Linked DNA regions of Saccharomyces cerevisiae S288C. Changing the gene in region 4 together with the main gene of any one other region gives a genetic interaction. Each region holds a gene or a part of one and is shown on either strand. Other genes may lie near its edges.

The links.
Region 1: mutations in IRE1 (region 4) and LAS21 together harm fitness more than expected from each alone (negative genetic interaction), as found in Saccharomyces cerevisiae (5 studies listed by BioGRID, with this or other methods).
Region 2: mutations in IRE1 (region 4) and ALG9 together harm fitness more than expected from each alone (negative genetic interaction), as found in Saccharomyces cerevisiae (6 studies listed by BioGRID, with this or other methods).
Region 3: mutations in IRE1 (region 4) and ERV25 together harm fitness more than expected from each alone (negative genetic interaction), as found in Saccharomyces cerevisiae (5 studies listed by BioGRID, with this or other methods).

Annotation. Positions count from the first base shown.
Region 1 is NC_001142.9:315,608-323,895, forward strand, and holds LAS21 (mannose-ethanolamine phosphotransferase LAS21), read left to right. Parts: upstream 1-1,676; coding exon 1,677-4,169; downstream 4,170-8,288. Other genes in the region: mitochondrial 54S ribosomal protein bL17m MRPL8, read right to left, coding at 152-868; COA3 (Coa3p), read left to right, coding at 1,116-1,373; linker nucleoporin NUP82, read left to right, coding at 4,409-6,550; BNA3 (kynurenine--oxoglutarate transaminase), read left to right, coding at 7,779-8,288. UniProt on the Saccharomyces cerevisiae protein: Ethanolamine phosphate transferase involved in glycosylphosphatidylinositol-anchor biosynthesis. Transfers ethanolamine phosphate to the GPI second mannose.
Region 2 is NC_001146.8:235,496-242,932, reverse strand, and holds ALG9 (dolichyl-P-Man:Man(6)GlcNAc(2)-PP-dolichol alpha-1,2-mannosyltransferase), read left to right. Parts: upstream 1-5,269; coding exon 5,270-6,937; downstream 6,938-7,437. Other genes in the region: DNA-binding transcription factor RAP1, read right to left, coding at 1-1,244; PPN2 (putative serine/threonine-protein phosphatase), read right to left, coding at 1,622-2,602; ssDNA-dependent ATPase MGS1, read right to left, coding at 2,932-4,695; ADE12 (adenylosuccinate synthase), read right to left, coding at 7,219-7,437. UniProt on the Saccharomyces cerevisiae protein: Mannosyltransferase that operates in the biosynthetic pathway of dolichol-linked oligosaccharides, the glycan precursors employed in protein asparagine (N)-glycosylation.
Region 3 is NC_001145.3:244,527-250,870, forward strand, and holds ERV25 (Erv25p), read left to right. Parts: upstream 1-1,589; coding exon 1,590-2,225; downstream 2,226-6,344. Other genes in the region: UBX2 (Ubx2p), read left to right, coding at 1-1,377; RAD33 (Rad33p), read right to left, coding at 2,369-2,902; transcription elongation factor SPT5, read left to right, coding at 3,151-6,342.
Region 4 is NC_001140.6:255,787-265,064, reverse strand, and holds IRE1 (bifunctional endoribonuclease/protein kinase IRE1), read left to right. Parts: upstream 1-3,473; coding exon 3,474-6,821; downstream 6,822-9,278. Other genes in the region: LAM4 (Lam4p), read left to right, coding at 1-2,264; SAE3 (Sae3p), read left to right, coding at 2,512-2,624, 2,711-2,873; YHR078W (uncharacterized protein), read right to left, coding at 7,047-8,705. UniProt on the Saccharomyces cerevisiae protein: Senses unfolded proteins in the lumen of the endoplasmic reticulum via its N-terminal domain which leads to enzyme auto-activation.

The DNA.
Region 1 (8,288 bases), on a different chromosome or scaffold from region 4:
GTTTCTTCTGTTTTGTTTCTCTTACATTTTTCATTTTTTTCTCTAGTTGGAAAAAAAAAAAAACACTATATTAGAATACGCACATTGTTAGCGCTGTTCTTTCAATTGTCATCTATATATTTACAAGGGAATACACAAAATCCTGGTTTTTTTAAGGTCTGGGAACCATGACATAGGAGGAGGGTTTCTTCGTCTTCTTTGGCAATGACGAAGAGTAGACCTCCTTCAAAAGTGCCTGCGTCCTTTCGTTTTCGAGTGCCTCATCATAGGGAAGGGACATTTCCTTGAGTAAGACCTGCTTGATGAGCATAATTTCACCATGTAGCTGCGCTTCTGCTTTAAACTTGGCCACTTTGTGAAGATTCTGCAATGTGAGTGGGTTATGAGGTAGCTGGTTGGCGTCATCGTTGATGACTGACTTGACTAACAGCCACATCTTTAAATTGCCCCTGTTCACCGTATGCGATTCGGACATCACGGGAGAGTCGACTAGTTCCAAGACGGATTGCGGCGCTGAGTCGTTAGCCCTAGGCTCTAACCGCAGCACACGCGTGTACCCACCGGGCCTTTCCAAGTACCGCGGTGCGATCTCGCTGAACAACCGCTTCATCAACTTTCTGTTGTCTCCTGCTAAAAACAATTGGCTCTGAATTTGGGACTTTAATTCCGCCTGTGCAACACTATTACTTGTCGTTATTGCCCTCTTTGTCCAGGTAATGATCCGCTCTGCGACCCTGGAAGCCTCTTTACATTTGGCATGCGTTGACACTATAGATTCATGCTGAAACAACTGGCACGCAAGGTTTTTTAGCAGCGCATCCCTATGCGCCTTGTCCCTAGAGAGTTTCCTAGCAATACCCACTGTCATTGTTGCGCTCGACTGTGCTTCTCACCGTTTTTTCTCCTTGGCGTAGCCAAATCTCTTGACCGTTATAAGCTGTTTTAGCTTGTCAAATCCCACTTGTTCTTGTTAACCAACTTTTCCCGCCTCGTACGCGGTGACAGACAAAGCAGTGATTTTTGCTCATTGTATAAAGGGAGTCTTTACTATGGTGGCATAAGCAACAATACTACGTGAGCAGCAACGAAAGCACATATATAGACGACAAAGTAGTATGGTTTTGAATCCGTCCAAGTACCAAGACACCCGCACGTGGAAGATGACGCCTGCCATGATCAGGGCCCGTAAACCCTTTTTCAAAGGCAATATGCTCGGTCTCACGCTGCTGCTGGGTGTCACGGGCTCTGTTTACTACTACACATATCATTTTCTGCACAAGGACAACGACTTTGCAGACGTGCCCATTCCACCCATCGATCCGCAGGAGCTCGAGGCTCTCAAAAAGGAGTACGAAGCCAAGAAGAAGGCATGAAAAGACCGTTAATGTGGAGGTACGCTGTGGTCTTCCATCAATAGGCTTTGCGCTGTTCTTCTCTCCTCTTTTGTAAATAGTTTACCTACTTGCGTATATGTATATATATATATATATAGATATGCTTATACGGATATATACATACATTCTGTTTGTTTATACTCTTTGTCCTACTCTAACAGCCAGCTCTTTAGTTTAAGAATATGATGAAAAACTCAGTTTGGGAAAAAAAAGGAAAATGTTAAAGTATAAACAATATCGAAATAAGTTCATCTACCACGCACACTTCACCAAGTTAGCAAGATGAACTTGAAGCAGTTCACGTGCCTATCATGCGCTCAATTACTCGCTATTCTGCTCTTTATCTTTGCTTTTTTCCCTAGAAAAATCGTGCTGACAGGTATATCAAAGCAAGATCCGGATCAAGACCGTGATCTCCAGCGCGATAGGCCCTTCCAGAAATTGGTGTTTGTGATCATTGATGCTCTCAGATCAGACTTTCTTTTTGATTCGCAGATTTCCCACTTCAACAACGTGCACCAATGGCTCAATACGGGCGAAGCATGGGGTTACACGTCATTTGCTAATCCGCCTACCGTGACGCTGCCTAGACTCAAAAGTATTACTACGGGATCTACACCTAGCTTCATTGACTTGCTGCTGAATGTAGCCCAGGACATAGATTCCAACGATCTTTCGGAGCACGATTCCTGGCTGCAGCAGTTCATCCAACATAATAACACGATTCGTTTCATGGGCGATGACACCTGGCTGAAACTGTTCCCACAGCAATGGTTTGACTTCGCTGACCCGACACACTCGTTCTTTGTCAGTGATTTCACTCAAGTCGATAATAATGTGACGAGGAACTTGCCCGGGAAATTATTTCAGGAATGGGCCCAGTGGGACGTGGCTATCCTGCATTACTTGGGTCTTGACCATATCGGGCATAAAGATGGCCCGCATTCAAAGTTTATGGCTGCTAAACATCAAGAAATGGACAGCATTCTGAAGTCAATATATGATGAAGTGTTGGAACATGAAGATGACGATGATACACTGATTTGTGTTCTTGGCGACCATGGAATGAACGAACTGGGCAACCATGGTGGCTCTTCAGCCGGCGAAACATCAGCAGGATTGTTGTTTTTGTCACCTAAGCTGGCGCAATTTGCTAGGCCAGAATCGCAAGTAAACTACACATTGCCCATCAACGCTAGTCCGGACTGGAATTTCCAGTATTTAGAGACTGTTCAACAAATTGATATCGTCCCCACCATAGCAGCACTGTTTGGTATGCCAATCCCCATGAACAGTGTTGGGATAATAATACCTGACTTTTTACAACTGTTGCCCAATAAGTTGGCAAGTATGAAAGAAAATTTTATGCATTTGTGGAAATTATCAGACCATCACGGCGAGGTTGCTCTTGACGATTTCACTGCCGAAGATATTTATACAAAGATGTACACTATTCAAGAAACGTTAACCAAGTCTGCAACAAATTATAATTATCCTCTTTTGACACTGGCTTTTGTTGGTTTCCTCATAATAACAATCATCGCCATTTATGTATTATTACGTTATTCTGGGCCTGATTTTTGGCAGTTGCGCGTTTCTTCCCTGTCTGTTCTGTTAGTTTCCATTATACTAGGCGTTTCCACATTTGCAAGTAGTTTCATTGAAGAGGAGCACCAACTGTGGTGGTGGATAGTAACTGCATTCTCGGCGGTCCCTCTGTTCGTATACCGATTGAATGTGCTCATAATCGTGCGCTGGTTTATAATGATGGCATGCGTACGCTCAATCAAGTTTTGGAATAACAGTGGCCAGAAATTCATTTATTCTAACGTTATGTCCAATCTACTTAATCAGAATCCTTCCTGGAAGTGGTGCTTAAATATGTTGACATTTCTAGTGCTGATAATGGCATCTGCTGGTTTTCAAGTACTACATTTTATTGTCACTACTATTTTGGTGGGGTTGTGTTTCACGTACAAAATCTCGTGGGAAATCGTCAATGGTAACCAGGCAGAAATACCGCTCTTTATGCATGATTTACTGGCTAAGATAGACTTTGCACCAACTGAAAGTAACTTGATTGTACTTGCGCGCGTTTTCTTCCAAGCTTGGGCTATTGTTGTCATTTCAAGGTTGGTCCTGACGAAATTGAAAGTACTTAACAAGAACTACCTCATTAAAGATATGAAAGTTTATATAACAATTCTTTTGATGTTCCAAACTTCTTCTCAGAACATAGGTCAATTTCTCGTTTTCCAAATATTAGAGTCCCAAATTTTTTACTTTTTCCAAAATATTCCAACCGCCTCATTAACATCAACAAGTAAGATTTATTTTTCGAATTTGGTGTCCTTAATTTTACAAAATTTTACATTTTTCCAATTCGGTGGCACAAATTCCATTTCTACTATAGACCTTGGAAACGCATACCATGGTGTTTCCTCAGACTACAACATCTACGTAGTGGGGATATTAATGTCCGTTGCCAATTTCGCGCCGGCAATATACTGGTCCATGCTACCGTGGTCAATAAACTACGCCTCTATTCCAGCACAAGTTAAGTTGCAAACGTTCATCAGAAGTAAGTTACCTGCCTTCACCTATCATTGTATATTTGGAACTTGTTTGATGACGGCATGCGTCGTTTTGAGATTTCATCTCTTTATTTGGTCCGTTTTCAGTCCAAAATTATGTTATTTTCTTGGGTGGAATTTTGTGATGGGATTGCTGAATGGCTGGTTACCTGAATTGGCCCTCCTTTGCGCTCTTGATTAACATAGAATTGTTCACGTGGTCTAAATATGTATACATATATGATAGTTTATAGATTCATACTGAGACAAGTGAAAAAAAAAAAATCTACTATCGACCTTCTCTCTTTTCGCGGCAGCAAAAATGAAAAATTAACTTCAATAAAAAAGTTGAATACTTTCAAATATTCTAATTGCATTTAATATTTAAGCAACAAAAGGACAGCGATAATTGAGTGGTGGCTTAATTCTATACTCCAAAGTATGTCCCAATCTAGTAGGTTAAGTGCACTTCCTATTTTCCAAGCATCGCTTTCGGCAAGCCAATCTCCACGTTACATTTTTAGTTCTCAGAATGGCACAAGGATTGTTTTCATTCAAGATAACATAATAAGGTGGTACAATGTACTCACTGATTCACTTTACCACAGTTTGAACTTTAGTCGTCATCTCGTCTTGGATGATACCTTCCATGTAATATCTAGTACGTCTGGTGACCTACTCTGTCTTTTCAATGACAACGAGATTTTTGTAATGGAAGTTCCTTGGGGCTATTCCAACGTTGAAGACGTTTCCATTCAAGATGCATTCCAAATTTTCCACTATTCAATTGATGAAGAAGAAGTTGGTCCGAAATCGTCCATTAAGAAAGTTTTGTTTCATCCAAAGAGTTATCGTGATTCTTGTATAGTGGTTTTGAAAGAGGATGACACTATCACGATGTTTGACATCCTTAATTCGCAAGAAAAGCCTATCGTTTTGAACAAACCGAACAACTCCTTTGGTTTAGATGCACGTGTTAACGACATCACAGATTTAGAATTCAGTAAGGACGGATTGACGTTATATTGTCTAAACACCACAGAAGGCGGTGATATCTTTGCATTTTATCCATTTTTACCGTCAGTATTACTGTTAAATGAGAAAGATCTCAACTTGATCCTAAACAAATCTTTAGTAATGTACGAGTCCCTGGATTCTACAACAGATGTTATAGTTAAAAGGAATGTTATTAAGCAGTTACAGTTTGTGTCAAAACTGCATGAAAATTGGAATTCAAGATTTGGCAAAGTCGACATACAAAAGGAATATCGTTTAGCCAAGGTTCAAGGACCATTCACGATAAACCCCTTTCCCGGCGAGCTGTATGACTATACTGCTACAAATATTGCAACCATACTAATTGATAATGGGCAAAATGAAATTGTTTGTGTCAGTTTTGATGATGGGTCTTTAATCTTACTCTTCAAAGATTTGGAAATGTCAATGTCGTGGGATGTTGACAATTACGTGTATAATAATTCTTTGGTTCTAATTGAACGAGTCAAACTACAAAGAGAAATTAAGTCTCTAATAACGTTACCTGAACAGTTGGGAAAACTTTATGTCATTTCCGATAATATTATACAACAAGTAAATTTTATGAGCTGGGCTTCTACATTGAGTAAATGTATCAACGAATCGGATTTGAATCCACTTGCAGGATTGAAATTTGAAAGTAAACTTGAGGATATTGCCACCATAGAAAGAATTCCAAACCTAGCGTATATCAACTGGAATGACCAATCTAATTTAGCCTTGATGTCGAATAAAACATTGACTTTTCAAAATATTTCAAGCGATATGAAACCGCAAAGCACCGCAGCTGAAACAAGTATCAGTACAGAAAAAAGTGACACGGTAGGAGATGGTTTTAAAATGAGTTTCACACAGCCCATAAATGAGATTCTTATTTTGAACGATAATTTTCAAAAAGCCTGTATTAGTCCATGTGAACGAATTATCCCATCAGCAGACCGCCAGATACCTTTAAAAAACGAAGCTAGTGAAAATCAGTTGGAAATTTTCACGGATATTTCCAAAGAATTTTTGCAAAGAATTGTTAAAGCTCAAACTTTGGGTGTTTCTATCCACAATAGAATTCATGAGCAACAGTTCGAATTGACGCGCCAACTACAATCGACATGCAAAATAATTTCAAAGGATGATGATTTAAGGAGAAAATTCGAAGCACAAAATAAGAAATGGGATGCACAACTAAGCAGACAGTCAGAATTAATGGAGAGATTTAGTAAATTGAGCAAGAAGCTATCTCAAATCGCCGAATCCAATAAATTTAAAGAAAAGAAAATAAGCCATGGTGAGATGAAATGGTTCAAAGAGATACGAAACCAAATATTGCAATTCAACAGCTTTGTTCACTCTCAAAAATCCCTTCAACAAGATTTATCGTACTTGAAGAGTGAACTAACTCGTATCGAGGCAGAAACTATCAAAGTCGATAAAAAGAGCCAAAACGAATGGGATGAGCTACGCAAAATGCTTGAAATAGATTCAAAGATAATTAAAGAATGCAATGAAGAATTGTTACAAGTTTCTCAGGAATTTACTACTAAAACTCAATGAGTAAGCGACTTGCATAGTCTGCTATCATATATGTACGCTAAGAAACAACTGGGCAATGGTATAATATCATGTAGCAAGAGGACATTATATATGAATTGGTCAATATATAAAGCCTTCTGTGCACCAAATCGTTAGGATGATTTTTCAGTATGCTGTATCATTGTATCGTATATTCATTCGTATCTCTTTTACCTCACTAACCGCTGCCAAAATTTACATGTATACAAAATAAAAGTCTTTTTTATGACCTTATTTGGTGAGTAATGCTACTTTTGTAAAGAGTGATGGAAACTATTATTCCAAAGGGTTAGAAGAAGGTGAGGAATACGTTCATATCACCGCTACAGATCGTGTCTCTCGGTTATGAGTAATCAAACCCTCTGCAAGCAACACAGTTACTTTTTTTCGGTTTTTTCTTTTCGTGTGAATTTTTATCCAGTGAGTTTCCTTGTTCACTTTCGAGAATGGAAGGCTGATTTCGAATTTTTATATTCAACAACTGTATTTGTATTAGGCTTTGCAATAGTAGATGAAAAGTGCAGAAGACGAATCTGCTACCCTCACAATACAAAGAAAAACAAAATCGTCATTTTAATATAGGAAGACACCGCTCAGGTAATTCAATATTGAATCTGGTTGCACTTTTCTTACGATGTAAATACCCACAAACTTCTTGTACGGTGAGCGTCTGACAACGAAATCAATTTACGGAGCAAGGATTTTGACAGTAGAGCAGATTGTTTTGAGTAGGATTTAGGAATCAAGACCTCCATCTTTGTCGCATTATTCCTAAATGTAACGTAACTCGTTTGATAAGAGAATGTCTAATCGAAGAGAGTTAATAACTTAATAAGCTCTTTAAAAGAACGATGGCATTTATCGTCTCCTATGCCAAGATAATTACTGGCTCAAAATTGTTCAGCGTTCATAAAACTTTGATATCACTTTCTGGCGCACAAGCTAACCTTTATGTAGTTCTTACGTAGATTCTTTTTAGCAAGTGCCTGGTAGTGGTTATTACATAAATGTATCTTTTCATTTGATAACAATTTCTTCAGTAGCATGTCGTGTCTAGCACGTGACGTAGAACTGTGGCTTTTTTGTTGTCATTATGACAATCAAGATACCAAAATTCAGTCATGTTTAAAAGGGGAAGGTACGATAGAGATATATATAAAGTGTTCAATTTACTATAATTGCGTATAGAATCCATTGTTACTTGCTCTCAATGAAACAACGATTCATTCGTCAATTTACGAACCTAATGTCTACTTCGAGACCGAAAGTTGTTGCCAACAAATATTTCACTTCTAACACTGCCAAAGATGTTTGGTCGCTAACCAATGAAGCCGCTGCAAAAGCTGCCAATAACTCCAAAAACCAAGGCCGTGAACTTATTAATTTAGGCCAAGGCTTTTTTTCATATTCCCCTCCTCAATTCGCCATTAAGGAGGCTCAGAAAGCCCTAGACATTCCAATGGTCAATCAATATTCTCCAACTAGAGGTCGACCTTCATTAATTAATTCCTTGATTAAGTTGTATTCTCCTATTTATAACACAGAATTGAAAGCGGAAAATGTTACCGTAACAACAGGTGCCAATGAAGGTATACTTTCTTGCTTGATGGGGCTTTTGAACGCTGGCGACGAGGTTATTGTTTTTGAACCTTTCTTTGACCAATATATTCCAAATATCGAACTTTGCGGTGGTAAAGTTGTTTACGTCCCCATAAATCCT
Region 2 (7,437 bases), on a different chromosome or scaffold from region 4:
AGTCTTTTGGAAAGATAGACTCTAAATCGGTGCCTAATAGAATTACCCGTGTGGTTAGGCACATAATGGGATATTTCATCGTAAAGAGTATGTGTTGTACGCCTGGTTGGATTTTTTCTCACAACATCCAAAATAAACTCATCTTCCTCATCTGTAAAAGAAGCTTTATTGTGGGAGGGCAAAGCGCCTCTCGAAATCATGGACCTTTGTGCTTGAAAAGATGCATTCCCCTCATCTGCTGTTTGAGGGTTGTTGTCCTGTGTCAAAAGATCATTGTCTTCGTCGTTGACGTTGCTATTATTATTATTGGAGGTATCTTTTTGAGGTTGTTCGATCTGGACCAAGTCATTGTGCCCTCCGCTTGTGATTGATGCGGTGCTGCTTACATGTTGACGAAGGAGCTGAGCTTGCTCTTGTAATCTAGCTTGTTGTTCAGCGTCTACCATAACTTTTTCGCTGGTTGAGTCTTCCGTAGCGCCATTAGTATTCGTAGAGATTATTTCTGTTTTGGGCCTGATAGAATCCTTGTTATCGCTATTGCTATTGCTATTATCTACACCATTAGAATGCGATTCCTCCTGCAACCTACTATCGACAACTTCTCTAAAGTTATCGTATGGTACTAAATAATTTTCCATGTTCAGTAGCGAGTTGCTTTGACAACATGCCTTAATATAAGTCGGAGTTACCGTTGGTAAATTGGTATGATTATAGGGTGACACGATGAAAACATTCTCTTTTGATTCTCTTGGCTTGGAGTCTAGCACTTCACCACCGTTTGCTCTAATCAGACGCGCTAATTGATCAATATCATTTAAAGAGTCATGCGCATCCGCGTCGCGATTAAGATAGAATTTCATATTTGACAGAGGAGGACCACTTACTTGTTCCTTTTTCTCATCAGCAGCGGTGTCATCAGTAGTAGGTTCAGTAACAGATGCACCTGATGTCGAAGCAATGTTAGCGGTAGCAGCAGTATCAGCAATGGAAGGCGTGGTAGTTGTTACACCGACTTCAGTGGTATCATCATCATCTTTCTTTTCGACCTCCGTCTGATCCACTTTCTCACTAGTTTCAGCAGCAGTAGCACCAGTGTTTTCTTCGTTTTGATTAGCTTTTACCTCAGCGGCTGAATCCGATGGCGCTGTGACTGCAGCAGAACCACTGTCAACAACGACCATACTCGGATCCAATGCATCAACATATTCTGCTGGTGCAGTTTCAAAATCATCTGGACTAGACATATTGAGATAATCTGTACGCAAATAGTGTCTTATGTAGGGCGGTTGCGTATACAACGGTTTGTGTTTACTACCTTTTGGGCTATGGGTTTGTTTTGTTTAAAACGTGTATTGATGGTGTTTAGGTGCTGGATGTTGGGTGTTGAAGAAATGATTGCGGTTGTCTGTTTTCGGTTTTGTTTTCTTTTCTCGCTAAATTTTAAAACTTCAACAACGAAGAAGAGGCGGGTAGCGGCCATTGGGCAAGAATACTTGTAGCTCCAGCGAAAGTTTCATTGAAATTTAAGATTCAGTATTATGAGTTACATAATAATATTCATATCTTTTTCATATAGTACATTATATAAAATCTGTTGCGCTTTTAAGTAGTACTTTTTGTTTTAAGAGCATTGTACTTGAATTAATTCATAGTCATATTGCCCCTTCTTAATATCGTACTTCACTTTCATAGATGAAAGCAGATTGTTCTTTATACATGCTGTGTCCAAACCTTTGGTCTGTCTCCGTAGGTTTAGTCCCATGGATGCATCGTGCCCGTAAAATACTTTGGCGTTACTAAAGTGGTCTCCGTATTTGTCCCACAGTGTGTACCATCTCACATAATTCTTGTTTTCCTTTTCACGTGATGTTTTTGACCAGTTCTTCTTATCAACGTACTTCATGTTTGACAGAGAGCTCACGCCCGGAATTTGGTTGGGCTTCATGAAGTCTCCCGGAACCATCCCTGCATGTGCACCAAAGAGTATATCACCGGTAATATCCAGATCTAGTTCTATGGCCATAGAACAATGTTCCGCTAGCTGACTTAATTTGGAAAACCCAAGTTCGCGAGCTAACCGTCCATGTGCGTTGCTGATTTTAGAGATGTCTTGTGGTATGAAATTAGTCTCCGTACTGAAAGTTAAAGGTGTCATTAATTTGGGGCGTCTTACCCATTTCGAGAAGTCTGGGTTTAAATAGGCCATCATGACCAATATTTCATGATTGCCCAAAACGCACTTGACTTGATCCTTGTGATTTAGAATATACGACACGACCTTGTCTGAGTCCGGGCCCTTGTGAATAAAGTCACCCAGCAATATCATTGTTATATTTTCTCCTAGTCCTCCAATCTTGTCATCAATGAGTTCTATGAACTCATCATAGTTACCATGAACGTCACCAACAAAAACGTACTCCTTATTTAAATCTGTTACATGCTCAATTTTCTTCAAGGTGCTAATTGTAGGCAATAAGGAAACTGGTGGAGACAACCGAGGGTTATCAAACTTGAATATATATAGTGTATAAACGCAGCATGCCACAAATAATATCAATGCTGTACTAAGTGTAGCGGCTCGTCTTTTCCGCTTATCTTCCATTTTTGCGTATCTATGCTCCTCAAGCCTGGCTCATTTTACAAGCTGGAAGGTCGAGGAAAAGGAAGAACTAATTCAAGAATAATGTGCTCTTCTTATAGGATGCGTATATGTTCTAATATATCTCAGATGGGCCCGCGAGACTTTTCTAGCATGAAAAAAAAAGGTGGATCCTTGATTATCTAAAATTATAGTTTATATCGTTCATGCTGCACAAAAACGTGCCAGCAATGCAATGCGCCTCAAGCGTAAAAAAACAAGCGGCATTGGCCAACAGAGAAAAAAATATGAATTGTAGACGCGGCATTGAGAGAAGTATGGAAGACCCTTGACTAACCCTGATATGACTGTCTCAAGTCAGGATCTTCTTTGTCTCCTAAATGTTTGCCGTCCAGGAACTTTAAGTCAGTTTTATTTGGACATTTCTCGAGCACTTCTTTGGGAAAGTAGTCTTGTTGGACTTTTCCTTCAATATAATCGGGATTGTACTTGTAGCCTTTATGATAACCCAGCTCCTCCATCAATTTGGTTGGCGCATTTCTGATATGCATCGGTATCTCACTGCTTGCTAAACTGTACATGTTCTCGCTCATCATTGCCCTTAATTTCTTCCAAGCTCTATATAGTTCTACTGACTTTGGTGCCCTAGCCAAAGCAACACAACATTGCGCCAGTGCAAGGTCTGCCTCTGGCAAACCAACTTTCATTACTGCGTCATGTGCCGCGACAGCCAAGGGCAATAATGAACTATCCCGTAATCCGATATCTTCAGAAGCTATTCGAATCATTCTTCGGGCAACATACAATGGGTCCTCTCCTCCCTGCAACATTCTTGCTAAATAGTACAGTGAGGCGTTTTCGTCCCCACCTCTAATGGATTTATGAAACGCAGAGATTGTATCATAATGGTTATCTCCCTTTGGGTCATAGTATGTATTCAACCCGTTGCTGCTGTTGTTCTTAATTATGTCTCGTACATCATCGATAGATAATTCTTCCTCGTCGGCCTTGCGCTCTCTTGTTGAAACTTCGATCATTTCCAACATATTTAACGCCCTCCTTGTATCACCCACCGACAGATCTACCACGTACTCCAGTATGCTTCTAGACAATTTCAAAGGATTTTCAATATTCCATACTTGTTTCCTGCATTTATTCAATAATGCAATTCCTCTTGATAAAACAATACACAGTTCGTTGACATTCAGCTTTTCTAGGACAAAAATCAGACATCTGCTAATGAGAGCATTGTTCAGCTGAAAACTTGGATTTTCTGTCGTTGCACCAATCAAAATAATGTCACCGTTTTCTACGTGTGGCAATAACAAATCCTGTTGAACTTTATTGAATCTGTGAATTTCATCAATAAAAAGTACAGTTCTTCTTTTGGTCAATTGATATTCCTTTTTTGATTTTTCAAATATACCTCTCAATTCTTGCGTATTTGCCTTTGTCGCACTTGTTTCGATCATGAAGTACCTGGAACCAACATTTGATTCATTACTACTGGTTGTCGCAGTTTTCGTTAATAGTCTAGCTAGTGAAGTCTTTCCTACACCTGGAGGGCCCCAGAGTATCATAGATGGTATAGTCCCTTGTTTTATGTATTTGAACAATGTACCATTATCTTGAGAGAGAATGTGCTGCTGACCTACATAATCTCTTAATTCTTTTGGCCTCAATTTTTCACTAAGTGGCAAATGGCTTATTTTCTGCAACCATCTGCTTTCGTAATCGTTGTGAAGTTGATCTCTGCTCGAAGCAGGCTCCACTATTGATTTCGCAAAATCCGTGGATGGTGCTGCCTTAAATCTTTTGCTTTCATTTTCAACAATCTCAATATCATCACTCTCGCTCTTAAGACCTGGCTTAATTTCATGGTCCTTATTTTCAAGATCAATGAATTTCTCTGAGTTAGCTTGTTTCCTCTTTTTTGGGCCTGCCAAAAGACTTGACACCGTTTGTGGCCTACTCGAAGGCTTTGACTTTTCCTTGCCACATATGTCAAGATGAGAGTTGATTAAGGAAAAAAAGACTTTTCTAGAGCAAATTGGGCATGATATGAGCTGTTCTACAGATGTCCTCTTGTTACTCATTGAGACTGTGCGATCCTGTTTCAGATCTTACCGCTAGCGTTCTTCTGCTAATAAGCTATTTTTTACCTGTCGATGACCTACCTTAAAACACGTTTCGTTTAAGACAACGCGTACAGTTTCACAAGGAAAGCAACCGATGATTGAATGTCAATTAAAAAACAAAAAACAGATGTTAATTTTAACTGGGCTCTCAATATCAAACCGTTATAGTATATGATGTATCTAAACGACCACTTATCACTTGGATATGTTGTCAAATCCGTTTTGCTCTTGCGCATGTTATACCTACTTTTTACTATCTACGGCGGGCATCCTGACCCGGCTTATTTACTTGAAAATGCAACAATAAGTCCGTTACGCAATATTGAATTTTGATGAGAACCGTTCTGCGATATTCAGAACTGTCAATACAAGCTTGAAAAAGGGACAACTGGATATACAGGGGTGTTTTTGACACAATAGAGAATACTTTTTCGTTTTTATTGTACCATTACGGCTACTCAACGAGATTTCAAAACTTTAGCTGTATCGAATTGGCTCTTTTTTCACCCTGAAGCACAATTATAAGGGAACGATGAATTGCAAGGCGGTAACCATTAGTTTATTACTGTTGTTATTTTTAACAAGAGTATATATTCAGCCGACATTCTCGTTAATTTCAGATTGCGATGAAACTTTTAATTATTGGGAACCATTAAATTTATTGGTACGTGGATTTGGTAAACAAACCTGGGAATATTCACCCGAGTATTCTATTAGATCATGGGCTTTCTTATTACCTTTTTACTGTATTCTTTATCCAGTAAACAAATTTACTGACCTAGAAAGTCATTGGAACTTTTTCATCACAAGAGCATGCTTAGGCTTTTTTAGTTTTATCATGGAATTTAAACTACATCGTGAAATTGCAGGCAGCTTGGCATTGCAAATCGCAAATATTTGGATTATTTTCCAATTGTTTAATCCGGGCTGGTTCCATGCATCTGTGGAATTATTGCCTTCTGCCGTTGCCATGTTGTTGTATGTAGGTGCCACCAGACACTCTCTACGCTATCTGTCCACTGGGTCTACTTCTAACTTTACGAAAAGTTTAGCGTACAATTTCCTGGCTAGTATACTAGGCTGGCCATTTGTTTTAATTTTAAGCTTGCCATTATGTTTACATTACCTTTTCAACCATAGAATTATTTCTACCATCAGAACCGCATTCGACTGCTGTTTGATATTTTCATTGACTGCATTTGCTGTGATTGTCACTGACAGTATATTTTACGGGAAGCTTGCTCCTGTATCATGGAACATCTTATTTTACAATGTCATTAATGCAAGTGAGGAATCTGGCCCAAATATTTTCGGGGTTGAGCCATGGTACTACTATCCACTAAATTTGTTACTGAATTTCCCACTGCCTGTGCTAGTTTTAGCTATTTTGGGAATTTTCCATTTGAGATTATGGCCATTATGGGCATCATTATTCACATGGATTGCCGTTTTCACTCAACAACCTCACAAAGAGGAAAGATTTCTCTATCCAATTTACGGGTTAATAACTTTGAGTGCAAGTATCGCCTTTTACAAAGTGTTGAATCTATTCAATAGAAAGCCGATTCTTAAAAAAGGTATAAAGTTGTCAGTTTTATTAATTGTTGCAGGCCAGGCAATGTCACGGATAGTGGCTTTGGTGAACAATTACACAGCTCCTATAGCCGTCTACGAGCAATTTTCTTCACTAAATCAAGGTGGTGTGAAGGCACCGGTAGTGAATGTATGTACGGGACGTGAATGGTATCACTTCCCAAGTTCTTTCCTGCTGCCAGATAATCATAGGCTAAAATTTGTTAAATCTGGATTTGATGGTCTTCTTCCAGGTGATTTTCCAGAGAGTGGTTCTATTTTCAAAAAGATTAGAACTTTACCTAAGGGAATGAATAACAAGAATATATATGATACCGGTAAAGAGTGGCCGATCACTAGATGTGATTATTTTATTGACATCGTCGCCCCAATAAATTTAACAAAAGACGTTTTCAACCCTCTACATCTGATGGATAACTGGAATAAGCTGGCATGTGCTGCATTCATCGACGGTGAAAATTCTAAGATTTTGGGTAGAGCATTTTACGTACCGGAGCCAATCAACCGAATCATGCAAATAGTTTTACCAAAACAATGGAATCAAGTGTACGGTGTTCGTTACATTGATTACTGTTTGTTTGAAAAACCAACTGAGACTACTAATTGATATACAGGTTCTCTAAAACAAGCAGCAAAAAAAAAAAAAGCCTGCTTACTACTTGTTTTGAGCGTTTTTTCTTATCAATAGTTTTAACATTTTTCCACGTAAATATATATATATCTATATGTTTTTATGCATTTTATAAAAAAAATATGTTTGTTCATTACTCTTTCATTTTTTCATTGAAAACTTTTAAAAAATGTCATGATTAGTTACATTTCGTATATATAAAACTATAAAACTGTGAAAAGAAATTAAATTGAAGTTTGTCATGGATGTCCAACGCCCTATTTAATTTCTTTATGCAACATGCTTTCTCTTGCGGGGCCGGTACCAACCCATTCAACAGGAACGCCAACAAAATCTTCAATATATTTTAAGTACTTCTTTGCGTTTTCCGGCAAATCTTCATACTTTGTAATTTTGGTAATATCTTGATCCCAACCTGGCAAAACTTTGTATTCAACTTCAACTTTACCAAGAATATTCAAGTCTTCAGGGAACAA
Region 3 (6,344 bases), on a different chromosome or scaffold from region 4:
ATGTTTGAATCTTTTAGTTATGATGGTAACCCCTTTCTTTTTATTTTACTGTTGATCCCTCGGATAATCAATAGGTTATCTGCCACAATATTCACGTTCTTTTGCACTCTATTGTCCCTGCATTCGATAAGTGGTGGCGGTAATTCAGGAAAACCCAAGATCTCCAAGGTTCCAAAGGCACCAACCAGAGAAACCCATATCCCACTTGCAGAAATACTGGGTGACACGAAGGACAAGGATGCATTTTGCGAACTAAAAAGCTTTAAACCAGACATTTCCTTCAATGAGGCCTTGCGTATTGCAAAAGAAGAGTTTAAGTTTATGTTGCTCATCCTAGTGGGCGACACCTACGATACCGATACTGATACCGTAGATGTTAATTCTAAACTACTATTGGAAAAGATTTTGTTAAACAAGAAGACTTTACAGTACTTGCGCAAGATTGATAACGACCTGATTATCTATTTGAAATGCGTACACGAGTTGGAACCTTGGCTGGTTGCTCGCCAACTAGGTGTCAGAAACACCCCGGAGATATTCCTCATTGCCAACGTGGCTAATAAGGCTTCCCATTCAGAAACTTTGCCCTCACAAAGACTCTCCATTCTCGGCAAGCTAAAGGTCAATTCACTGAACAGATTCTTGCAGTCGTTAACAAACGTGGTGGAAAAGTACACTCCAGAATTAGTTGTTAATAAAACTGAAATGCACGAGCTACGCATGTCAAGAGAAATAAAAAAACTGCAGGAGGATGCGTACAAAAAGTCGCTAGAAATGGACAGAATCAAAGCTATAGAAAAGGAAAAGAGCTTGAAACACGCTCAGGATTTGAAATTAAACTCAACTGCTCGGCAATTAAAATGGTTAAAGGCTTGCATCGATGAGATACAGCCGTTCGAGACAACGGGGAAGCAAGCTACTCTGCAATTTAGGACTTCTAGTGGCAAAAGATTCGTCAAGAAGTTCCCCTCCATGACTACACTTTACCAAATCTACCAATCCATTGGGTGTCACATATACCTCGCGGTATATTCTAGTGACCCCGCAGAATGGTCTAACGCCCTCCAGGACAAAATCAGGCAATTATCTGCAGACGACGATATGCTCTGCTTTAAAGAAGGACAACTCGAAACTGCTACTGCTACCACTATCGAAGAGCTCGGCCACATCATCAACAACGAGCTTACCTCATTTGATCTCGAACGTGGTAAACTTGAATTCGACTTTGAATTGGTATCGCCCTTCCCTAAGTATACTGTGCATCCTAACGAGCACATGTCGGTGGACCAAGTGCCCCAGCTATGGCCAAATGGCAGTCTTCTAGTGGAAGCACTGGATGAAGAAGATGAAGAAGATGAGGAAAATGAAGAACAATGATAAAATAGCATATCGTTAAAAACGACAAACGCGTACAAAGAGTTTCTGGAGTTTACTTTTTTTTCATTTTTCGTTTTTACTCTTTCGTCTCCCTAATGATTTTGGCCAACCGTTGGTTGTTACGTGTTATATGTTTGTTTTAGGAGCTGGGGCCTACCTTTATAGTTAGTTGTATAACTCAGTTGATCTCATAAGTGAAAAGCAAAAAAAGGATGCAGGTGTTACAGTTATGGTTGACAACTTTGATCTCTTTGGTGGTGGCAGTGCAGGGATTACATTTCGACATTGCAGCATCTACAGATCCAGAACAGGTTTGTATTCGTGATTTTGTCACTGAAGGTCAATTGGTTGTCGCGGATATTCACTCAGATGGTTCTGTTGGTGATGGACAGAAACTAAACCTCTTCGTGCGTGATTCAGTTGGAAACGAGTATCGTAGAAAGAGGGACTTTGCAGGCGACGTTCGTGTTGCGTTTACTGCTCCATCCTCCACGGCATTCGACGTTTGTTTTGAAAATCAGGCTCAGTATCGTGGCCGTTCTTTAAGCAGGGCCATTGAATTGGACATTGAGAGTGGTGCTGAAGCTCGTGACTGGAACAAGATCAGTGCCAACGAAAAATTGAAACCTATAGAAGTGGAGTTGCGTAGAGTGGAGGAAATTACCGACGAAATTGTCGACGAATTGACTTACTTGAAAAACAGAGAGGAGAGATTAAGAGACACCAATGAATCTACCAACAGAAGGGTAAGAAATTTCTCAATTTTGGTTATTATTGTCTTGTCCTCGCTGGGTGTTTGGCAAGTCAACTATTTGAAGAACTACTTCAAAACGAAACATATCATTTAAGCAAAGGAAGAGGACCACACCATGCATTTGTGTATCAGCTTACCCTATAATTGCATATGTACTCGACTATTTTCTACATATATATGAATAGATTCCAGAACCGAATAAAGGAGAAAAAATATTTGAATATGGATTTGTTCGCTTCACATCTTTAAGTAACCTAGTTTTCCCAATACGCAACCAAAGTCCAAGTATGTCATGAAAAGCCTCTTGCCATCAGTAGCACAACTAATCATTTCAATGGTCCCAGAACTTTGGTCAGCCCCGATGAGATTGGAGATTTTTTGAAGGTCTTTTACGCTTAATACATGATCTCTTAAGGCCACTTGCGGGAAATCCACGTCTCTGCCACAGTTTCTAATAAGCATCGACCATAAATCATCTATTACTGTTAAATTATTCATCAGTATCAGTAACTGGCATGTGCATCGTACCAGTTTCGTGAAATCTATTACGTCAGTTCCTTCTATAATGACGTCTTCATTTCTCACCAGTTTCCAAATTGTGGGCTCTAGTTGCAAATCCTTGAAGAACCTTGGTAGTTCATTAACGGTCATATCATGGTCCAGACTGGATTCCGCATATTTTTCCAGAATTTCATCTTCAACTTCGATAGGTACTTTCGGGTTCTCGAATAGCTCTACTCTTTCATAACTAACGTTAGTGGATTTGCTCATTGAAAAAAAACTCGGAAGGTATTTAGGTGACCTTGCGGCTTCTTAATGCTGACACCTGCATGCGTAATTGTTATTATATATATATATGATAGTATATTTCATACTTGTTCCTTCTAAAGGTGACCCGCCTGATATGCGACATAGAAAAAAATTTGGATGAACATGTTCAAAGATTGGTAGCATTGACAAGAACCATTCATACAAGTAGGTAACAGCAGAAGGAAAGAGGAACGGGTGTTGTGATAATTATGAGTGACAACTCGGACACAAACGTGAGCATGCAGGACCATGATCAACAATTTGCTGATCCCGTAGTGGTTCCGCAGTCAACTGACACTAAAGATGAAAATACTAGTGACAAAGATACTGTTGATAGTGGCAATGTGACCACAACGGAAAGTACAGAACGTGCAGAAAGTACAAGCAATATTCCCCCTTTAGATGGGGAAGAAAAAGAAGCAAAATCTGAGCCACAGCAACCTGAGGATAATGCAGAAACGGCGGCCACAGAGCAGGTTTCATCTAGTAACGGGCCTGCTACAGATGATGCCCAAGCAACTTTGAATACGGATTCATCCGAAGCAAATGAAATTGTCAAGAAGGAAGAGGGCTCTGATGAAAGGAAGAGACCTCGCGAAGAGGACACCAAAAACAGTGATGGTGATACCAAAGATGAGGGCGATAACAAAGATGAAGACGATGATGAAGACGACGATGACGATGATGATGATGAGGACGATGACGATGAAGCCCCAACTAAAAGGCGTCGTCAGGAGAGGAACAGATTCTTGGATATTGAAGCTGAGGTTAGTGATGATGAAGATGAAGATGAAGATGAAGAGGATTCAGAGTTGGTTCGTGAAGGTTTCATTACCCATGGTGATGATGAAGATGACGAAGCAAGTGCTCCAGGCGCAAGAAGAGACGATAGATTACATAGACAACTGGACCAAGATTTGAACAAGACTTCAGAAGAAGACGCTCAAAGGTTAGCGAAAGAATTAAGGGAGCGTTACGGTAGAAGCAGCTCCAAGCAATACCGTGCTGCTGCTCAAGATGGTTACGTGCCCCAGAGGTTTCTCCTACCAAGTGTTGATACAGCTACCATTTGGGGTGTGCGCTGCAGACCAGGTAAAGAAAAGGAATTGATTCGTAAGTTATTAAAAAAAAAATTCAATTTGGATAGGGCGATGGGTAAGAAAAAACTGAAAATTTTATCCATTTTCCAAAGGGATAATTACACAGGAAGAATCTATATCGAAGCCCCTAAGCAATCCGTTATTGAAAAATTTTGTAATGGTGTTCCAGATATTTATATTTCTCAAAAATTGCTAATTCCTGTCCAAGAATTACCTCTATTACTAAAACCAAACAAATCTGATGATGTTGCTTTGGAAGAAGGTAGCTACGTTCGTATTAAGAGAGGGATCTATAAGGGTGACTTAGCTATGGTCGACCAAATTAGTGAGAATAATTTAGAAGTTATGCTGAAAATTGTTCCTCGTCTGGATTATGGTAAATTCGACGAAATTGATCCAACAACACAGCAACGTAAATCCAGAAGACCAACTTTTGCTCATAGAGCACCACCGCAATTATTTAATCCAACAATGGCTCTAAGATTAGACCAAGCTAACCTGTACAAAAGGGATGATCGCCACTTTACTTATAAGAATGAAGATTATATCGATGGTTATCTGTATAAGTCCTTCAGAATTCAACATGTGGAAACCAAAAATATTCAGCCAACTGTGGAGGAATTGGCAAGATTCGGTTCCAAAGAGGGCGCGGTAGATCTAACATCAGTTTCACAATCAATCAAGAAGGCTCAAGCTGCAAAGGTCACTTTCCAGCCAGGTGATCGTATCGAAGTTCTAAATGGTGAACAACGTGGTTCCAAGGGTATTGTAACAAGAACCACGAAAGATATTGCTACTATCAAACTAAATGGCTTTACAACGCCTCTAGAATTTCCTATCTCTACTCTGAGGAAAATTTTCGAACCTGGTGATCACGTTACTGTCATCAATGGTGAACATCAAGGTGATGCTGGTTTAGTTCTTATGGTAGAGCAAGGTCAAGTGACATTTATGTCAACTCAAACAAGCAGAGAAGTTACCATTACAGCAAATAATCTGTCCAAATCCATCGACACTACAGCTACATCAAGTGAATATGCGCTACATGACATAGTCGAATTGAGTGCTAAAAATGTTGCTTGTATTATTCAAGCTGGCCACGATATCTTCAAGGTTATTGATGAAACTGGTAAAGTGTCGACAATTACGAAGGGGTCTATCTTGAGTAAAATAAATACTGCTCGTGCACGCGTTTCTAGTGTCGATGCAAATGGTAATGAAATCAAAATTGGTGATACCATAGTAGAGAAAGTAGGTTCACGCAGAGAAGGTCAGGTCCTGTACATACAAACACAACAAATTTTTGTTGTTTCAAAGAAGATTGTTGAAAATGCAGGGGTTTTTGTTGTTAACCCTAGTAACGTTGAGGCCGTGGCATCCAAGGACAATATGTTAAGTAACAAAATGGATCTAAGTAAAATGAATCCAGAAATCATTTCTAAAATGGGACCTCCATCATCTAAGACATTCCAACAACCCATCCAGTCCAGAGGAGGTCGTGAAGTTGCACTCGGCAAAACAGTAAGAATTCGTTCTGCTGGTTACAAGGGTCAATTAGGTATTGTGAAAGATGTGAATGGTGATAAAGCTACTGTCGAATTACACTCGAAGAACAAACACATTACAATTGACAAGCATAAGTTAACATATTACAACCGTGAGGGAGGTGAAGGTATCACGTATGATGAATTGGTTAATAGACGTGGTAGAGTTCCACAGGCCAGAATGGGCCCAAGTTACGTCAGTGCCCCAAGAAACATGGCCACTGGCGGTATTGCAGCAGGTGCTGCGGCTACCTCTTCTGGTCTTAGCGGTGGTATGACACCAGGATGGAGCTCCTTCGATGGTGGCAAAACACCAGCTGTAAATGCGCATGGAGGCTCAGGTGGTGGCGGTGTCTCCTCATGGGGTGGTGCTTCCACTTGGGGTGGCCAAGGTAATGGAGGTGCATCCGCTTGGGGCGGTGCTGGCGGCGGTGCCTCAGCTTGGGGCGGCCAAGGTACTGGTGCTACTTCTACTTGGGGTGGTGCTTCAGCCTGGGGTAACAAATCAAGTTGGGGCGGTGCATCCACTTGGGCGTCGGGTGGTGAATCTAATGGTGCCATGTCTACTTGGGGTGGTACCGGTGATAGGTCAGCCTACGGCGGGGCTTCCACCTGGGGAGGAAATAACAATAATAAAAGTACAAGAGATGGCGGAGCTTCTGCATGGGGTAACCAAGACGATGGAAATAGGTCTGCTTGGAACAACCAAGGAAATAAGTCAAACTATGGTGGTAACAGTACATGGGGAGGTCATTAATC
Region 4 (9,278 bases):
TTTATTCGAACATCCTTGGTTGGGTAAGTACCGTTTTTATACCGTTCAAGACAATCGTTCAAATAGAGAAAAGGGCCACAGCAGGAATATTCCCTAATGGGATCGTTATAGACACTTTACACACAAAATACACGTTTGCCTCTTTCACTTCAAGAGATGCTACATATGATTTAATTACTGAAGTATGGAATCAAATAATTTTGGGAAAGAGGTTTCGTAGCAACAGTAATAACACTAATAGCAGCTCCAATTCTATCAGTGATGATGAAAATGACGATTACGATGATGATTACGATGATTATGGAGATGATGATGACGATCTTTACGATAATAGCAATAACATATCTGATTCTACCGACATGACATCAAGCGTCAGCATAGGAAAGCCGGAAGATTTACCCATGCCTCTACAAACAGACACCCCTTATGGAACAGGAATTCCACCACTAGGTCCAAAAATTCACTCACCCACAGAAACAGTATACAAACCAGCGCCCAATGAAAAATTAGTTAACGAATCAACAATACACGCTTCGTTAGGGCGGGTTGTCAATATATTATTCGGGAAAGATGTCAGTTATATTATGGCCATTTTAAAAGCGCAAAAGAATAGTGATATTTCGCCAATCCCTGTTCTCGTTGATTCACCCACGGTTTCTGAAGGTAAAAAGAGAGATTATTCCTACGTAAAAACAACACCAGGTGCCATTGGACCCGGTAAAACTAAATGCATGATAACTGAAACCATTCAACACTTTAACTTAGAGGAGTATGTTCAAGTCTTGCAAACAACAAAAACTCCGGATGTTCCTTCTGGAAATTCATTTTATGTGAGAACAGTTTATCTTTTATCATGGGCAAACAACAATGAAACAAAACTAAAACTGTATGTCTCTGTTGAATGGACAGGTAAAAGCTTGATCAAAAGTCCTATTGAAAAGGGTACATTTGATGGTGTAACGGATGCAACAAAGATATTGGTGGAGGAGCTTGGTAATATTTTAACAAGATCTGCTACCAAAAGGAAAAGGTCTTCGAAGGAGAACACTGTTACAGTATCAACTTTACCGAAAATGGAACCTAGCTCACATGCACCTACCGAGCCTGATATTCAAAAGGATAAGGATGACTCTATTATAAGGGAAAATGAGAATATACCAGCTCCATTAGGGACCGTGGTCCAATTGCTATTTGGATCGAATACAGAGTATATGCAGAAAGTTATCACTAGAGATAAGAATAATGTCAATGTGGAAACGATACCAAAATTCACGCCTTCGTTGGTTGAAGGAGGTTCAAGACACTATGAGTACACGAAGAAATTGAACAATTCTATCGGACCTAAGCAAACAAAATGTTTACTAACCGAGTCTATTGAACACATGGATATCAATAACTATGTTTTGGTGACACAAACAACTAAAACTCCAGACGTCCCCTCTGGTAGCAATTTTGCAGTAGAAAGTAAAATCTTTCTATTCTGGGGGCAGCATGACACCACGAATATGACCGTTATAACAAAAATCAACTGGACAAGTAAATCATTTTTGAAAGGTGCAATTGAGAAAGGATCTGTTGAGGGTCAGAAGGTTTCTGTCGATTACATGCTATCCGAGTTAAGAGACATTATTAGCAGGGCAAAAAGCAAAAAACCGGTGAAGAAAGTAATGAAGAGTCATGATAAACATAGGCCTTTCCATAGTAAGGTTGAACAGAAAAGTTCCGAAAGCCGTAAGAGCGATGATAATAAAGACATTTTAACTCATATTTTGGATTTCGTTCAGAATAATTTTAGTTCAGAAATTTTTATGAACAAATTGCTGAGTCCTCAAAAACTATTCTTGATCTTGGGGTTGACCATTATGCTTTTCTGGTCTCCTCGGCTTCACGTGTTTCAAGAAAAAAATAATCTTCAAATCATCAAGCCAGGAAGGCTGCTGATTGATGGTCAAGAATATAATTACGTGCCCAGTTTCGGCACACTGTATAACTCATATGAAAACGCCATATCATCTAAGAAGAAGAGAGAAAATGTAAATTACGCAAGGGATAAGAGTCCTATTGTAGGAAGGGAAAGCGATATTTGGGATTGGATCAGTAACAGAGGGAGTGCAATATCACCTCGAGGTCGTGCTATGTTGAGAAACGATGACGAACACAAATTGCAGCAATTATCAGAAAGTATCAAAATAACAGAAATGCAACTAAATCATATGAAAACTATGTTGGACAACATTGAGAGGGACGCAAATGATCTATCTTAATAGCATTTTATATATTCTGTTTGTATTATTTAGTAATTGTATCTAGTACATATCCTGTAGCGGTTGGCCTGATTCCTTTTAAGTTAGATGACAGGCACACTTTGCATTATCACATCAGACGGAATTGTTCTGCCTAATGGCGGCTATTCTATTTCTGCTTCATAAATGCAAAGACAGAGTATAAGAATAATTTTAAATTAAAAGCAATGGTCTTATCCTTGCCATAAACAGAAGACAACTTGCAAGTATGAACTATTTGGAAACACAGTTAAATAAAAAGCAAAAACAGATACAGGAATACGAAAGTATGAATGGCAACCTGATAAAGATGTTTGAGCAATTGTCTAAAGAAAAGAAAAAGTATGTAGCTATTTTTTCCAGTCGGCAAAAATCGGTATAACAAACAAAAAATATTTAGTTTCTGTTATTAACAGAACTTGTCAAAGTGATGAGACACCAAAAAAAATTTCCTCGACGTACATTAAAGAGTTAAAGGAGTACAACGAATTGAGAGATGCCGGTTTAAGGTTGGCCCAAATAATTGCTGATGAAAAGCAATGCAAAATTAAGGATGTTTTTGAAGAGATCGGTTATTCAATGAAGGACTAATGGGCTTTTAGGGACAGTTCTATTCTTCCAACGTGCGAAGCGTTCCAATGAAACTCTGCTGCGCGCTGAAAACTATATAAAAAAAAAAAAAGATAAAATTACAAAGAAGTAATGAACTTAAATGCTATTATACAGTTACTAATTAAGCTGCGTAGTGTGAAATATATTGATAGTTGTAGTTTTGAGGTTTTATTACCCTCTGTTATATAATAGGTTTTCGCTATTTTATTGCCGAAAATCAAGACGGAGCGTAAGCCTCTTCGGGCAATACCTTCGACTATTCCAACAATAAAATTTAAAAAAAGAGATTAATCACATAGTAACAAGAAATAAACGAAAAACATATCATAGGAGATCAATGAGCCAACTTCACATAAACTAACAGTGAAAAGTCTATAACAATATTAATTTTACACAATTAAATCTACACTATAACTGGCACTGTTAATAATCGGTAATCTGCTAAGTAACTTTTTTTTCTCATTCACAAAGCATCGTTTTCCTCTTCCCCACGTCCATTATCACTTTTCTCCATATCACCCTTCATACACATTAAAAAAACAGCATATCTGAGGAATTAATATTTTAGCACTTTGAAAAATGCGTCTACTTCGAAGAAACATGTTAGTATTGACACTGCTCGTTTGTGTGTTTTCATCCATCATTTCATGCTCAATCCCATTGTCGTCTCGCACCTCAAGGCGGCAGATAGTGGAAGATGAAGTTGCCTCCACTAAAAAGCTCAATTTCAACTATGGTGTGGATAAAAATATAAACTCGCCCATTCCTGCTCCAAGAACCACTGAAGGTTTACCAAATATGAAACTCAGCTCATATCCAACTCCTAACTTATTGAATACTGCTGATAATCGACGTGCTAACAAAAAAGGACGTAGGGCTGCCAATTCTATAAGTGTACCCTATTTGGAGAATCGTTCCTTGAACGAACTGAGTTTATCAGATATACTAATCGCAGCCGACGTTGAGGGTGGACTTCATGCTGTAGATAGAAGAAATGGTCATATCATATGGTCAATCGAACCAGAAAATTTTCAACCTCTGATAGAAATACAAGAACCTTCGAGGTTAGAAACATATGAAACGTTGATTATAGAACCTTTCGGTGATGGGAACATTTACTACTTTAACGCCCATCAAGGGTTACAAAAACTGCCTTTATCCATACGACAACTTGTATCAACTTCCCCGCTGCACTTGAAAACAAATATTGTGGTTAATGACTCTGGAAAAATTGTTGAAGATGAAAAGGTCTACACTGGATCGATGAGAACTATAATGTATACTATAAACATGTTGAATGGTGAAATTATATCAGCGTTCGGACCTGGTTCAAAAAACGGGTATTTCGGGAGCCAGAGTGTGGATTGCTCACCTGAGGAGAAGATAAAACTTCAGGAATGTGAAAATATGATTGTAATAGGCAAAACTATTTTTGAGCTGGGAATTCACTCTTATGATGGAGCAAGCTACAATGTCACTTACTCTACATGGCAGCAAAATGTTTTAGATGTTCCCCTAGCGCTTCAGAATACATTTTCAAAGGACGGCATGTGCATAGCGCCTTTCCGTGATAAATCATTGCTAGCAAGCGATTTAGATTTTAGAATTGCTAGATGGGTTTCTCCGACATTCCCCGGAATTATTGTTGGGCTTTTCGATGTGTTTAATGATCTCCGCACCAATGAAAATATACTGGTACCGCATCCCTTTAATCCTGGTGATCATGAAAGTATATCGAGTAACAAAGTTTACTTGGATCAGACTTCGAACCTCTCCTGGTTTGCATTATCTAGTCAGAATTTTCCATCTTTAGTCGAATCAGCTCCCATATCAAGATACGCTTCCAGTGACCGTTGGAGGGTGTCTTCAATTTTTGAAGATGAGACTTTATTCAAGAACGCAATCATGGGTGTTCATCAGATATATAATAATGAATATGATCACCTTTATGAAAACTATGAAAAAACGAATAGTTTGGACACTACGCACAAATATCCACCTCTGATGATTGATTCGTCCGTTGATACAACCGATTTACATCAGAATAACGAGATGAATTCACTAAAGGAATACATGTCACCAGAAGACCTTGAGGCATATAGAAAAAAGATACACGAGCAAATATCGAGAGAATTAGATGAAAAGAACCAAAATTCTTTGCTACTGAAGTTTGGAAGTCTAGTATATCGAATTATAGAGACTGGAGTATTTCTGTTGTTATTTCTCATTTTTTGTGCAATACTACAAAGATTCAAAATTTTGCCGCCACTATATGTATTATTATCCAAAATTGGATTTATGCCTGAAAAGGAAATCCCCATAGTTGAGTCGAAATCGCTAAATTGTCCCTCTTCATCGGAAAATGTAACCAAGCCATTCGATATGAAATCAGGGAAGCAAGTTGTTTTTGAAGGTGCTGTGAACGATGGAAGTCTAAAATCTGAAAAAGATAACGATGATGCTGATGAAGATGATGAAAAATCACTAGATTTAACCACAGAAAAGAAGAAGAGGAAAAGAGGTTCGAGAGGAGGCAAAAAGGGCCGAAAATCACGCATTGCAAATATACCAAACTTTGAGCAATCTTTAAAAAATTTGGTAGTATCCGAAAAAATTTTAGGTTACGGTTCATCAGGAACAGTAGTTTTTCAGGGAAGTTTTCAAGGAAGACCTGTTGCGGTAAAGAGAATGTTAATTGATTTTTGTGACATAGCTTTAATGGAAATAAAACTTTTGACTGAAAGCGATGATCACCCTAACGTCATACGATACTACTGTTCAGAAACAACAGACAGATTTTTGTATATTGCTTTAGAGCTCTGCAATTTGAACCTTCAAGATTTGGTGGAGTCTAAGAATGTATCAGATGAAAACCTGAAATTACAGAAAGAGTATAATCCAATTTCGTTATTGAGACAAATAGCGTCCGGGGTAGCACATTTACATTCTTTAAAGATTATCCATCGAGATTTAAAGCCTCAAAATATTCTCGTTTCTACTTCGAGTAGGTTTACTGCCGATCAGCAAACAGGAGCAGAAAATCTTCGAATTTTGATATCAGACTTTGGTCTTTGCAAAAAACTAGACTCTGGTCAGTCTTCATTTAGAACAAATTTGAATAACCCTTCTGGCACAAGTGGTTGGAGGGCCCCAGAGCTGCTTGAAGAATCAAACAATTTGCAGTGCCAAGTCGAAACGGAACACTCTTCTAGTAGGCATACAGTAGTTTCATCTGATTCTTTTTATGATCCGTTCACCAAGAGGAGGCTAACAAGATCTATTGATATTTTTTCTATGGGATGTGTATTCTATTATATCCTATCCAAAGGGAAGCATCCATTTGGAGATAAATATTCACGTGAAAGCAATATCATAAGAGGAATATTCAGTCTTGATGAAATGAAATGTCTACATGATAGATCCTTAATTGCAGAAGCTACAGATCTGATCTCCCAAATGATTGATCACGATCCGTTAAAAAGACCTACTGCTATGAAAGTTCTAAGGCATCCGTTGTTTTGGCCAAAGTCGAAAAAATTGGAGTTCCTTTTAAAAGTTAGTGATAGGCTTGAAATTGAAAACAGAGACCCTCCAAGTGCCCTGTTAATGAAATTTGACGCCGGTTCTGACTTTGTAATACCCAGTGGAGATTGGACTGTCAAGTTTGATAAAACATTCATGGACAACCTTGAAAGGTACAGAAAATACCATTCATCAAAGTTAATGGATCTATTAAGAGCACTTAGGAATAAATATCATCATTTTATGGATTTACCTGAAGATATAGCAGAACTAATGGGGCCGGTACCCGATGGATTTTACGATTACTTCACCAAGCGTTTTCCAAACCTATTAATAGGTGTTTATATGATTGTCAAGGAAAATTTAAGTGACGATCAAATTTTACGTGAATTTTTGTATTCATAACATGTTCATGCCCCTCTGCTTCTTCTTGGTTGATTATTGCATTAATGTTACTTTGATCATTAGTAGTAACCATCCATAATTTTTACGCCCTTGCATAAATGAAAAAAAGTTGTACTTCTTCATGAACCTATACTACTTTTCTCATCCCTACATAAACTACCCGACAGACATTTAATTTTATAAATACATATCTCATAAACATCGAACATCGACATACTACTCCAGTTATTCAACACTGACTTTTTTGGTGGAAAGCTTTCGTTCTGCAATTCTTATGCAAATAAAGGTAAACACACATGCAAAAGCGTAGACTTCATCAAACCAAGAATCTATGACAATGTTTGGGACGGTAAACTTTCCACCCAATAGCTCCTTTAATCTTTGTGATACTTCAAAAGGGAGATGGGACCTAACCATTAGCGTTGTAGCCAAAACGTAGACGCCAGTCAACTCTGACACCACCAGATTTTTTATCAAAGATATTCCTTTTTGTTCCTGAGAATAGTTTCTCTTTTTTCCCTTATAGGAAGAGTTATTGGTGTACTCTGGAAGTACATTAGCAGTGTCATCATTCTGCATGGCGAAAAGTGCAAGAATCTGGAACTTTATGGGCAAAAGGGTCACAACGTAGGAGATGGTGGTATTGACAGCAGAAAGACAGCAAAGAAAGAGAGAAATTGACAAAAATAACGATATCTGTTTTGTTAACGAATCGAGATCGTGCTGGTAATTGAACCTGAAAAACGAAAAATCCAAAATATTTGCTATCGTAATGGCTAAAGGATCGGATGCTGCATTTTCACTAAAATTTTCATAATCGTAGTCATCTGGATATTTGAGCGAGTGGTATATGATATAGGGGATTCTTTTCAGGAAAGTTATTATTAGTTTATGAAGACAGTATATGATAAACCCGACTTCAAAAGCTTTCTTAAAAGTGCGTACCTGAGGGGACTGTTGTAATAATGCTTCCAATTTCCCAAGCTCCAGTTGATACCAGGCGATTTTTTCCATCAACTCTGCTTTAAAAGTTGAGTTTTCTCCGACCTCTTCTTCTAAACTTCTTAATATTTGTACATTTTGTTCAATGTTGTGTTCATAATCTTGGATTTTTTCCTCTATATAGGCGTCTGTTGTCCATAAGAGAGATTTACTGTTATTGTTGCTGTTGTTGATGTTTCTAAAACTGGGGTCTGACATTGGTGTATTACGAAACTTGTGCCAGATGACTAAAAAGTTGTAGTATAAACTAGAAACAGTGGCTAACCCAGATAGGGAAGCCATGACTGTGACGCCTCCGATGGACAATCTAGTTAGAATATTTTTTGTGTACTGGAACGGTCCAATATTTATGTAACTTAACAGCGCAATAAGTGTGGACAAGATTATGCATGTCACTATTATCAACCTATCGATATCGAACTTGTCATTGTAGAATTTATTCAGTAACGATATTATAATGAAAAAGGGCTGAAATAAAATTAGTATGAAGGATAGCATGATTGCAGTCAGAGGCCACACCCAAGTCGTTATGAAAGTAACTTCCTTGTCCATTCCAGCAACCTTAATCTGCCATAGAATAATCTCTATGGTTACTGTATACGTCATCATTGCTAATGAAAAAAGGACTCGCAGTGATTGCAGTACCTTATGTGAGGGTAAAGAATACTCTGTGTAGAATTTATTTATGAAATTACCCATACTAGACACATCCTCATTCGAGCCAACTTCCATTTTGCTTGCCAACGGAATGACATTTTTCTTCGAGGAAGTTGATATAATGTCAAACAAAGACCCTACTTTAAACCAGAGCCTTTCATAGGAGCATTTGTAAGCAAATGCTCCGGATACGGAAAGCACTATAAATACGATAAGTGCCTCCATCCCGTCCACCACTTAGTCTACACTCAATAGTCCTTTCTAGTGCAGGTCCTGGAGGCAACCGCCAGAGTTGAGATCTTTTCCTTTTCTTTCCCTGCTGGTCAATTTTTATTGTTCAGGACTCGGTCATCGCAGATATCGCAATTTTTCACTCGTTTGAGTCTAGACTGTAAAATAAAACCGAATGGTTAAGCTAAAATAGACTCTGTATGACTAAGTCGTTCACTAAAGTTCATTATTTCATGCCTGAATGACCTTTATCTTAATTATGCACCATCATATAGCGTTTCTATGATCACTACGGGATATTATGATATTGTTAGGGGGTTATATTGAATATTTCTTAGGGCATGAGGATGATATTAGGGTTATTAATAGGTTTACAATTATATAATTTATGTGATAATTATCACTTGATACGAATTGATGGAGCCTGCTTCTTTTTTTTTTTTTCACTTTCTTGGCAGTCACTGAAAAACTGCATTCGAATACAGGTTTGAGAAACTAATGAGGCCCATATTACTTTACAATGAACAGTAACAATCAACTTAAATGCTTAAATAATCTAATATTGTA